Linked DNA regions of Anolis sagrei. Each later gene encodes a partner of the first gene's protein in a complex. Links are inferred from orthologs where the notes say so. Each region holds a gene or a part of one and is shown on either strand. Other genes may lie near its edges.

Region 1 (3,755 bases):
GGTCTCCTCCAGCCGCAGGACCTCCCGGTGGTACTGGCGGTCAAGCGGTGTCTGGCAGGCCGCGGCGCTGCGGTAGAGGTCCACCTCGAACTGAGGGCACATGGGACGGAAGAAGGAATGAAATGGTATGATTGGGGCAGAGGAGAAGTGACCACAGAATTTTTTGCTGTACATAAGTATAGAATTGAAAACAGGAGCCATCAGAATGTTATGAGAATATATGGGATATATATATATTAAAAGGTGACTGTGACAATGTTATAATTTATGTGTATATTTATATATAAAGGTCATCCAGTCCAACCCCCTTCTGCTTTAACAGAAGACACTGTCCGATCCCTCCCAACAGGTGGCCATTCAGCCAATAGATAGCCATAGAATGAATGAATATGTGTGTGTGTGTGTGTGTGTGTGTGTTATAGAACCCTACAGTTGGAGGGACCTCAAGGATCATCCAGATAAATGGCCACAGAATATCTATATCTAGGTAGATATAGATATATGAGATATATATTATGTATATCAGAGAATCCTACAGTTGGAGGGACCCCAAGAACCATTCAGTCCAACCCTCTTCTGCTTTAAAGGAAGACACCATCCAAGCCCTCCCGACAGATGGCCATTCAGCCAAAAATAGATGGCTATATATTTATTTACATATATACATATATACGTAGAAATACACACACACATGTATGTATAATATCTATGCATTTGACATAGACTTGCCTGGCGGAAGAGCTTCTCCATCCAAACCCTCCTAACAGATGACCATTCAGCCAAAGATAGATGGCTATACACATATATATGTATGTGTTTATAATATCTATGCATTCGACTTAGACTTGCCTGGCAGAAGAGTTTCTCCATCCAAACCCTCCCAATAGATGGCCATTCAGCCAAAGATAGATGGCTATAGATATTATATCTATGTGCATGTGTGTATCTATAAATATATATATAATATCTCTGCATTCGACATAGACTTGCCTGACTGAAAAGCTTCTCCTGCCATCCAACTACGACCTCTTCGCGCTCCTCCTCCGGACAAGGGGCACCTGAAAGACACAAGAGTAGGCCGACGGGTCAAGCATGCGGCTTTGGCCAATGTGGTCCCGGCCCAAAAGCCCAAAGCAGTCACTCACTTGCCACAGGGCCAAGGGTGGCCAAGCCGATGAGCTGCTGGCCGGAGGAGGCTTGGAGCTGCTGAAGGAGAAGACTGGTAGACGTCACCCGCTGGAGGCCGACCCTGCGTGGGAGGACAAGAAGAGCCAACCTCTCACAACATAATACTACTACTACAAATAATGTGTGTGTGTGTGTTGTGTGTATACATATATATATAATATACCTATCTATATATATAGGTATATAAAATATAGCATACAACATATATCATACATATTATTAACATATAATATTAATCTATAACATGTACAATATATAAAAATTATATTAAAACATTAATCTACAATATATAACATCTATAACAGGTATATAAATAACACTATTAATATAATATTAATCTATAATATATAACATATTATATAATAATAATGTATATAATATTAATCTATATAACATATAATATATAGTAAATAATATTAATATATTACAGTATATAAACCATTAATATGATACACATATATATTATTAACTTATTACAATATAAATCTATAATATATAACACTTAATATATAATACACATTATAATATGTATAACACATAATACGTAATATATAATATATTACAATATAAATCTATAATATACAATATATATAAAATATAATACATTACCAAATAAATCTGTAAAATATAATATTATGACTATAGATTATAAATATATAATATATAACATAATATATAAATAATGTTATAAATATAGAAAAATGTATAATACATCACATATTTTATAAATTTTATTTATAAATAATATTACTATATTACAATAGAAACCTATTATATACAATATTAATAATATTTTACAGTATAAATCTACAATATATACATTATATATAAAATAAATAATATTAATATATTACAATGTAAATTATAATATATACCATACAATTTATAATAATAAATATTATTAAATAAATATAATAAATATTATTAATCTATTTCAATATATAAAATTACTATTATTATTATAAATATATTACAATATAATTTTCTATAATATATAACATACAATATACATAATAAATAATATTAATAAATTTTGAAAATATATTTTAATTTTTTTTTAGTTTCCATATGTTTTCATATGGAAACTGTTTTCATATGTATATGTGTATCTATCTATCTATCTATCTATCTATCTATCTATCTCTGGTTGTGGGAGTCCCTTTCTCCCTGAGGTGTTTTGTTGAAGAAGAAACAGTGGCGCCCAACTCGAGCGAAGGCTCCGGAGTCCGCACTAGGCCTCACGGGAGAAAAGGGGCGATTAAAATGGCGGTAGGCCTCACCGGACGCGGAGGTTGCCGATGGGGTCCCGGGAGCGATAGACGGCGACGCCGGTGTCCTCATTCCACGCCGCCTCTGCCATACCCAGAGCCTTTTTTCTTTTTTTCCTACGCGAGTCTCAGGCTGCGCTGTTCCTGCTAGGCCGCGTTTCCATGGAGACGGCAAGATGGCTGCGGTTCTCAAAAGTATCTGGCTCTATTGAACTCCAACCCCCACAATCCTTTGCGCAGCAGTTAACATTGTAGAGCCCGGCTCTGTCTCCCTGGAGCATCATGGGAGTCGTTGTCCGGTGGGGGAAAAGACCTAGAAACAGAAATGACAGGCATTTGGGAAAGCGGAAGTGACGCCATGACGTCGACGCGCGTATAGAGAAGGCGGAAGAGAGAAGGAAGTAGAGGCTGAGGGAAGGTTCAGAGATAAAGAAAGGAGGAAGGAGGACAAATAGGGGAAAAAGCAGGAGGGTAAGTCTCAGGATTAGTATTATGGTATGGCTTAAGAGTAAGAGTAATAAGAAGAAGAGTGATTTTTGAAAATGTGTATTTATTTATTTATGTGTGTGTGTCTCTTTAAATAGAGAGATATCTATGCATGTATATGCTTTAAGCGCCTCTGTATATCTTTCTGCATGAATAGAAATAAATATAACTTGTGTGTATATCCTATCTTATATATGCAAGTATAAAATGTATAGTATAGAATCAGTGTGAAATAGTATAAATTAAATATAGTATAAAATAAATAAAAATATAGAGTAAAAATATAATATACAATAAATATATAATAACATATAAAATATATAGTATAAAATAAATATAAAATACATGGTATAAAATATAGCACAAATATCTATAAAATAATGTATATACAATATATAGAATATTTATTTATTTATTTGCCATATTTATATACCGCTCCTCTCAACCCAGAGGTGACTCGAGGCGGTTTACAGTTGGCAGTCAATTATTATTATTATTATTATTATTAACTTTATTTATACCTTGCAAAGGACTCGATGCGGCTTACAAAGGCCGCCAACAATACAAAATACAATACACAATAAACTCATAAGCAAATAATAAAACATCAAGCAAAACAGAAAATAGTAACAATGACGCTGTGACGCAATTAAAACCAGGTCGGGCCAAATGTAATGAACACAATTTAAAAGTGCTGGACTTGACAGGTAATATGAGGCGGTATTTGGAGATAGGTGCAAGTGCAGATAATCCTGAATCTCTAAGGTGCATTTGGGACTTAAGCTAGGAGTTTCCTATTCCGGAAAGGCACAC
Region 2 (3,755 bases), on another chromosome or scaffold:
TGAAACCAATACTCACTGCAGAGATTTTGCAAGGGGAAGGAGAAATTGAATCTGGACCATGTGTGCAGCTGCACAGTCAAATTAATGCAGATTGACACCACTTTAACTACCACTGCAAAATCCTATAGGATCCTGAGGCCCCAGCATTCTTTTGGCAAAAAAGGACACATCCCTTGTAAAACTTACTTACTTACTTACTTAGGCGATCCCTCGTTGGACGAGTAAGATGGTCTTCCATTATGGATTTCCTTGTGGGTCCGTAGGTGGCTGTGGAGCCCTATTCTTGCTCTGCATCTTCTTCCGCAGTGAGGGCATTGGTTTCCAGGTGGAAGGCGTTCCCGGTCGGGGTTGGCTTGACGCGCCTTCCTCCTGGCACGTTTCTCTCTTTCACCCTCCACTCGTGCCTCCTCGAATTCTGCAGCACTGCTGGTCACAGCTGTCCTCCAGCTGGAGCGCTCAAGGGCCAGGGCTTCCCAGTTCTCGGTGTCTATGCCAGAGTTTTTAAGGTTGGCTTTCAGCCCATCTTTAAATCTCTTTTCCTGTCCACCAACATTCCGTTTTCCATTCTTGAGTTCGGAGTAGAGCAACTGCTTTGGGAGACGGTGGTCAGGCATCCGGACAACGTGGCCGGCCCAGCGGAGTTGATGTTGGAGGACCATCGCTTCAATGCTGGTGGTCTTTGCTTCTTCCAGCACACTGACGTTTGTCCGCTTGTCTTCCCAGGAGATTTGCAGGATTTTCCGGAGGCAGCGCTGATGGAATCGTTCCAGGAGTTGCATATGACGTCTGTAGACTGTCCACGTCTCACAGGCATATAGCAGGGTTGGGAGGACAATGGCTTTATAGACAAGCACCTTGGTCTCCCTACGGATGTCCCGGTCCTCGAACACTCTTTGCTTCATTCTGGAAAATGCTGCACTTGCAGAGCTCAGGCGGTGTTGTATTTCGGCGTCGATGTTGACTTTGGTGGAGAGGTGGCTGCCAAGGTAGCGGAAATGGTCCACATTTTCTAATGTTACACCATTAAGCTGTATTACTGGCATTGGAGAGGGATTGGCTTGTGACTGCTGGAACAGCACCTTGGTTTTCTCAATGTTCAGTGACAGGCCGAGCTTCTCGTATGCTTCTGCGAAGGTGTTTAGAGTGGCTTGTAGATCTTCTTCTGAATGCGCACAGACGACATTGTCATCAGCATACTGGAGTTCTATAACAGATGTTGTTGTAACCTTGGTTTTGGCTTTCAGTCTGCTGAGGTTGAATAGCTTGCCATCTGTCCGATAGATTATTTCCACTCCGGTGGGAAGCTTCCCATCAACAAGGTGAAGTATCATAGCGATGAAGATGGAGAATAGAGTTGGGGCGACAACTCCCATAATTCCATATTGAGCTATAGCAGTTAAAGTGGTGTCAAACTGCATTAATTCCGCAGTGGAGATGCACCCCATGGCTGGCTAAGAGTTATAGGCAAGTGCCCAGAATGGAAGGACCCTCTCACATCACACAGTCAGTATCCGACTTCAGCTGCCATGGCAACATGCACTGGAATCCTATAACTCGAAGCTTAGGATGAGGCATTGTTAGCCAGAGAGATCACCTGGTACCCTTGAACAAATTATGTATTTCAATAGATTTTGATGGTTTTAGCTATTTCAATAGTTTATTTATTTATTTATTGCATTTCTATACCGCTTTTCTCACTCCTAGGGGGACTCAAAGAGGTGTACAGCATAATAATTGGCAAAAATTCACATAAGAATAAAAACAATACATGACAAATCTTAAAGCAATAACATATAACTGTAAATTAAAATCATTAAAATCGTCAGACATGATCGTTTGCCAGTTTGTGTAGCTTTCAATTACCAATCTTGTAAGCAGTGCAATATTTGATCTAATTTTAGTGTGAGAGTCTCCATACTGCTGAGTCTGGATCTTCCATACATTAGGAGTCCTGACTGCAGAGAGGTTTCCCTTTCTCCTCCCCCAGTTTCCCTTCCCTTCTCTTCCTTTCTGCCTCCCCCACTTCCTTCCAGGGACACAGCTCGTCCTCACATGATACTGAGTGCATCTACACTGTAGAATTAATGCAGTTTGACCTCTCCAGTCCCCGCCACCACTTACTGCGAGGCGCCATCTTCCATCTCCATGGACACCAACTACGCAGAAAGCCTGCGGCCGGCTGCTACTTCTCCTCGCCCGGATGTCAATCTGTGCCCCACAGAGAAGGGCCTGACTTAGGGATGAAGACGTCACTTCCGCTATGGGATCGGAGCCGCTCTAGCCCTGGACTTCTCAGGCTCCAAACACAGGCCGGTCAGTGTGGCGCGAGTCTGCATTCGATGCCGGAAACAACGACGTGGACTCTAAAGAGGAAGCCGCTTCGTCCTCACAAGAGCCCGACAGGGGTCGCCTCCGTTTCCATAGTTACCCCTTGGCCCCGCCCCTCGCCCCCACCAATCAGGGGGCGGAAAAAGGCCTCCCATAGCAACTAAGCAGAACTAAGAACCAAGAAATAAGCAGCCCTTCAGATGCATCTATATCAGGCTTAGGCAAACTTGGGCCTTCCAGGTGTTTTGGACTTTTGAAGTCCAAAACACCTGGAAGGCCCAAGTTTGCCCAGACTTGATCTACACTGTAGACTTTATTAATTGACCCCACTTTAACTGCCATAGCTCAATGCTATGAAATCTTGGGCTTTGTAGTTTGAGGAAGCAGTGGCACTCTGGCAGAGAAGGCTCAAGACCTTGTAAAACTACAGCTCCCACTATTCCTTTGCATTAAGCCATGGCAGTTAAAGTGGGATCAAACTATATTCATTCTATAGTGTGGATAAACCCCAAGATCCTGCTTGAAAACATCTTTACCGAAGGACTTTCCGCCCTTCTATTCCTTCATTTCTCCCTTTTCAGTATACAAAGCAACTTTTCACTGCTACAGCTTGTCTTGACTTCTATACCCCAGGATTTGAGTACGCACAGAATTTTGTGGTTGCTTTGTTTCAACAGCATGTTTCTTTCCCCTATTCCTGTCTTATCCCTGGACAATGGAAGTGCAGGCTGAGATTCTCTTATCAGAAATGTTTGGGACAAAGAATATTTGGGATTTTTATGGATTTCGAAATATCTACTTGCATATACACATGATGGCATGTCTTGGAGAGGGAGCCATGCTTAAACGCCAAGTTTATTTTTGTTTCTTATACTATTAAAAGAATTTTATATACAATATTTGTATTAATTTTGTGCATGTACAATGAACATAAGAGAGCAGCCTCCCATGTGAACAATTTAGTATTTTGGATTATTTTGGGATTCCAGATAAGGGATGCTCAACCTGTAACTTTTTCTTTCTCGTGGTTCTTCTATAATGGAGTATTACTAAATTAAACAACTTAGTTTTAAGACAAATACTAGACTAGACAAGCAGGGAAACATTCTTCATATCAATAATAATAATAATAATAATAATAATAATAATAATAATAATAATATCAGGATAGTGAAAGGAAAGATTAATACAAAATAATCACATTATAGTTTCTGGAAAAAAGTTTTATTTTCTCATAGTTAATAAAAACACAAGTACAAAAGACAAGTCTAATAAGTCCTCGAGAGTATGTTTGCCCAGATAAAAGCAATATTGCAAAGCTAGAGGATTGTTCTTTTATGCTTAGTTGCATTGCCAGTGGTACTAATGAAGGCAAGAGGCCTTTTTGACAAACGATGTGGAACACATGATGAGGGAATATTCTTCAA
Region 3 (3,755 bases), on another chromosome or scaffold:
TGAGTGTTCATTTATCTCTGTAGATTAGAAGAAGAAAAGCTGTATGAACAGAAACATATGCACAGCTTATTGATCTACTTTTAAAGCGGAAATCTTCAAACAATGAGTCAGGGTGGGGGTGGGGGGTGTGAATGTTGCAACTGATCACCTTGATTAGCACTGAATAGCGTTGCAGCTTCAAAGCTTGCCTCCTTCCTACCTGGGGGAATTTTTTGTTGGGTAGTGATTAGCTAACCCTGACTGTTTCTTGTCTGGAATTCCCATTTTTGAGTGTTGTGTGGCCCAATCAACAATTGGGCCACAGAGTTTACAGAAAACCTACACACATGGATAGATACCTACATAAAAACTCCAAACATCACCCAAGTAAAAAAGAAGAAGAAGAAGAAGCACAATTAAAGCTCTGGCAGACCATGCAAAAAGAATCTGCGAACCCCACCTTCTCCAAGATGAACTGAACCACCTAAACCGGGCTCTACAGGCCAATGGATACTCCACCACAGACATCAGAAGAGCTGCAAGACCGAGAACAAGCCACGAGAGTAAAGACAAAGATCCACCCAGAGGAAAAGTGTTCTTGCCATACATCAAGGGAACCACTGACCACATAGGAAAGCTGATAAAGAAACACAACCTACAAACTATCTACAGGCCCATTCAGAAAATCAAATAAATGCTATTTCCAGCAAAGGACAAGAGGGATCCTCTCACTTCTGCAGGAGTCTACTGTATACCATGCAGCTGTGGATAAGTCTACATAGGGACCACCAAAAGCAGCGCCCAAACACGAATAAAGGAACATGAAAGGCACTGCAGACTGATTCAGCCACAGATGTCAGCCATAGCAGAGCACCTGATGAACCAACCTGGACACAGCATATTATTTGGGAATACAGAAATGCTGGGCCACTCTCACAACCACCATGTCAGGATACACAGAGAAGCCATTGAAATCCACAAGCATGTGGACAATTTCAACAGAAAGGAAGAAACCACAAAAATGAACAAAATCTGGCTACCAGTATTTAAAAACTCTATAATCAGGATGGTAAATAGAGAGCAACACTCAAAAAACAAAGGAATTCCAGAAAAGAAACAATCAGGGCCAGCTTTTCTTTTCTTTTTGGTTGTGTCAGGAGCAAGTCGCTTCTGGTGTGAGAGAATTGGCAGTCTGCAAGGACGTTGCCCAGGGGATGCCTGGATGATTTGATGTTTTTATCATCCTTGTGGGAGGCTTCTCTCATGTCCCCGCATGAAGAGCTGGAGCTGATAGAGGGAGCTCATCTGCCTCTCCCCAGTTTCGAACCTGCGACCTGTCGGTCTTCAGTCCTGCCGGCACAGGGGTTTAACCCACTGCACCACCGGGGGCTCCAGGGCCAGCTAACACCTCCCATCAAAGGAGCCCCCCAGGCAGGAAGCAGCCAGGCTTTGAAGCTGCAAGGCTACTCAATGCTAATCAAGGTGGCTAATTGTAACATTCACACCTGCCTCAAGCAGACAAAAAGTTCTTTCTCCCACCTTGGACATTCCACAGAAATATAAACTACACTTGCTTAGTTTCCAACAGATTTCACAACCTCTGAAGATGCCTGCCATGGATGTAGGCGAAACGTCAGAAGAGAATGCTTCTGGAACATGGCCATTGTTGTTGTTCATTCGTTCAGTCATCTCCGACTCTTCGTGACCTCATGGACCAGCCCACGCCAGAGCTCCCTGTCGGCCGTCACCACCCCCAGCTCCTTCAAGGTCAGTCCAGTCACTTGAAGGATGCCATCCATCCATCTTGCCCTTGGTCGGCCCCTCTTCCTTTTGCCTTCCACTTTCCCCAGCATAATTGTCTTCTCTAGGCTTTGCTGTCTCCTAATGATGTGGCCAAAGTACTTCAACTTTGTCTCTAGTATCCTTCCCTCCAGTGAGCAGTCAGGCTTTATTTCCTGGAGGATGGACTGGTTGGTTCTTCTCGCAGTCCAAGGCACTCTCAGAACTTTCCTCCAGCACCACAGTTCAAAAGCATCGATCTTCCTTCACTCAGCCTTCTCTAAGATCCAGCTCTCACATCCGTAGGTTACTACAGGGAATACCATGGCTTTGACTAGGCGGATCTTTGTTGCCAGTGTGATGTCTCTACTCTTTACTATTTTATCGAGATTGGACATTGCTCTCCTCCCAAGAAGGAAGCGTCTCCTGATTTCCTGGCCACAGTCTTCATCTGTAGTAATCTTTGCACCTAGAAATACAAAGTCTGTCACGGCCTCCACGATTTCTCCCTCTATCTTCCAGTTGTCAATCATTCTTGTTGCCATAATCTTGGTTTTTTTGATGTTTAGCTGCATCATACATACATGGCCATACAGCCCAGAAAACTCACAGCAACCCGATAATAATAATACGAATAGTACCTCGATAGTTTGCGCAGGGCCCGGTACTTTCTCTTAAACTGTCAGTAGGTTTACTTCACAGAGAATGGCTGAAGGGCGGCAGGGCCTTCACCCTAAGCCTTCCTTGGGCGACCACAAGGCCTCGCGGCTGTAAAACCGACACCTTCAAAGGCAGCGCTGATCCTGCTCAAGCGTCTCCCGCCCTTCCCGCTCACTCCCCTTTCCCCTGGCTTCCGTTGACAAAGAGGAGGAAGGAGGAGGAGAGATGGCCGTTGCTGGGCGACGCCATCAAACACTTCTCTTCCGGGCTCAAAAGAACCCGGATATTCTTTAACCTCCCACAAAATGTCCTGCCGAAGACTACGCTACCCACAGTGCTCTACGCACTACCGAGAGGCGGACTTTCACAACATCGGCCGCTTAGCATGCTGGGACGTGGAGTTTTTTCCCCCCAGAGCGGCTTCTCAGCATGCTCTGTCGTCACGCCGTAGGGGGAGACAGAGTCAGCGCCTGCGCAGTGCGAGAGGGGAGTCTCCAGTTGCTTTTTCATGTTCAGGGGCTGGAGAGAGACATGGTGGAAGAGATGCTCCAGCAGAGCCTCCGAGTTAATGTGGGAAGCAGGGCTGCTTGTGCCGGCTTCTTGCCAAGGGCGGTAATGTGCTAAAAGGTAAGGAGAGGGTTCCTGGCATCTTTAGAGGGAGGAAGAGGGTTTAGAAAGACTCAGGGCGGTGTAGTAGGGCTGCCCCTGTTTTCTGCATCTCACAAGGCTTACCTGTATGTTAAGTGAGAGGAATGCTTCCATCTATTGCTAGAGGTGGCCATCGCAGAAAAAAAGTGGGTGGTTTCCCATGAAAGTGTTCACACGTGACGCTGGTGAAGACCCGTGTTCAGACCCTACAGTTTGAGTATCCTTCATCTGAAATGCTTGGGACCAGATATTTTTGGATTTTGGAATATTTTCATATTCATAACTAGCTGTACCCGCCACGCGTTGCTGTGACCAACCTTCCCTCCCTCTTTCTCTCCTTCTTTCCTTTTCTTCTTTCCTTCTCCCCTTCCTTCCTTCTCTGCCTCTTTCCTTCCTCCCTTTTTCTTTTCCTTCCCTTTCTCACCTTCCTTCCTTCCTTCCTTCCTTCCTTCCTTCCTTCCTTTGCTTTTTGCTTCCATCCATCCTTCTCTCTTTCCTTCCCTCCCTCTTTCCTTCGCTCCCTCTTTCCTTCCTTTCCTTTTTTCTTTCCTTCTCTCCTTCCTTCTTTCTATCCCCCCTTTTCTTTTCCTCTTTCTTTCCTTTCTTCCTTCTCTACCTCTTTCCTTCCTTCGCTCTTTGCTTTCATTCTTCCTTCTCTCTTTCCTTCCCTCCCCTTTTCACTCTTTCTC

Evidence for each region.
Region 2: MKS1 (region 1) and TMEM216 share a complex: the UniProt entries of both Homo sapiens proteins name them as parts of the tectonic-like complex. The link is inferred for Anolis sagrei from reciprocal best matches to the Homo sapiens genes MKS1 and TMEM216.
Region 3: MKS1 (region 1) and CEP290 share a complex: the UniProt entries of both Homo sapiens proteins name them as parts of the tectonic-like complex. The link is inferred for Anolis sagrei from reciprocal best matches to the Homo sapiens genes MKS1 and CEP290.

What each region holds. Positions count from the first base shown.
Region 1 is NC_090031.1:28,096,532-28,100,286, forward strand, and holds the start of MKS1 (tectonic-like complex member MKS1), read right to left. Parts: upstream 2,648-3,755; 5' UTR 2,549-2,647; coding exon 2,469-2,548; intron 1,250-2,468; coding exon 1,146-1,249; intron 1,059-1,145; coding exon 991-1,058; intron 91-990; coding exon 1-90. UniProt on the Homo sapiens protein: Component of the tectonic-like complex, a complex localized at the transition zone of primary cilia and acting as a barrier that prevents diffusion of transmembrane proteins between the cilia and plasma membranes.
Region 2 is NC_090021.1:236,146,152-236,149,906, reverse strand, and holds the start of TMEM216 (transmembrane protein 216), read right to left. Parts: upstream 2,396-3,755; 5' UTR 2,135-2,395; coding exon 2,122-2,134; intron 1-2,121. UniProt on the Homo sapiens protein: Part of the tectonic-like complex which is required for tissue-specific ciliogenesis and may regulate ciliary membrane composition.
Region 3 is NC_090025.1:152,526,729-152,530,483, forward strand, and holds the start of CEP290 (centrosomal protein of 290 kDa), read right to left. Parts: upstream 2,702-3,755; 5' UTR 2,400-2,701; intron 18-2,399; 5' UTR 1-17. UniProt on the Homo sapiens protein: Involved in early and late steps in cilia formation. Its association with CCP110 is required for inhibition of primary cilia formation by CCP110.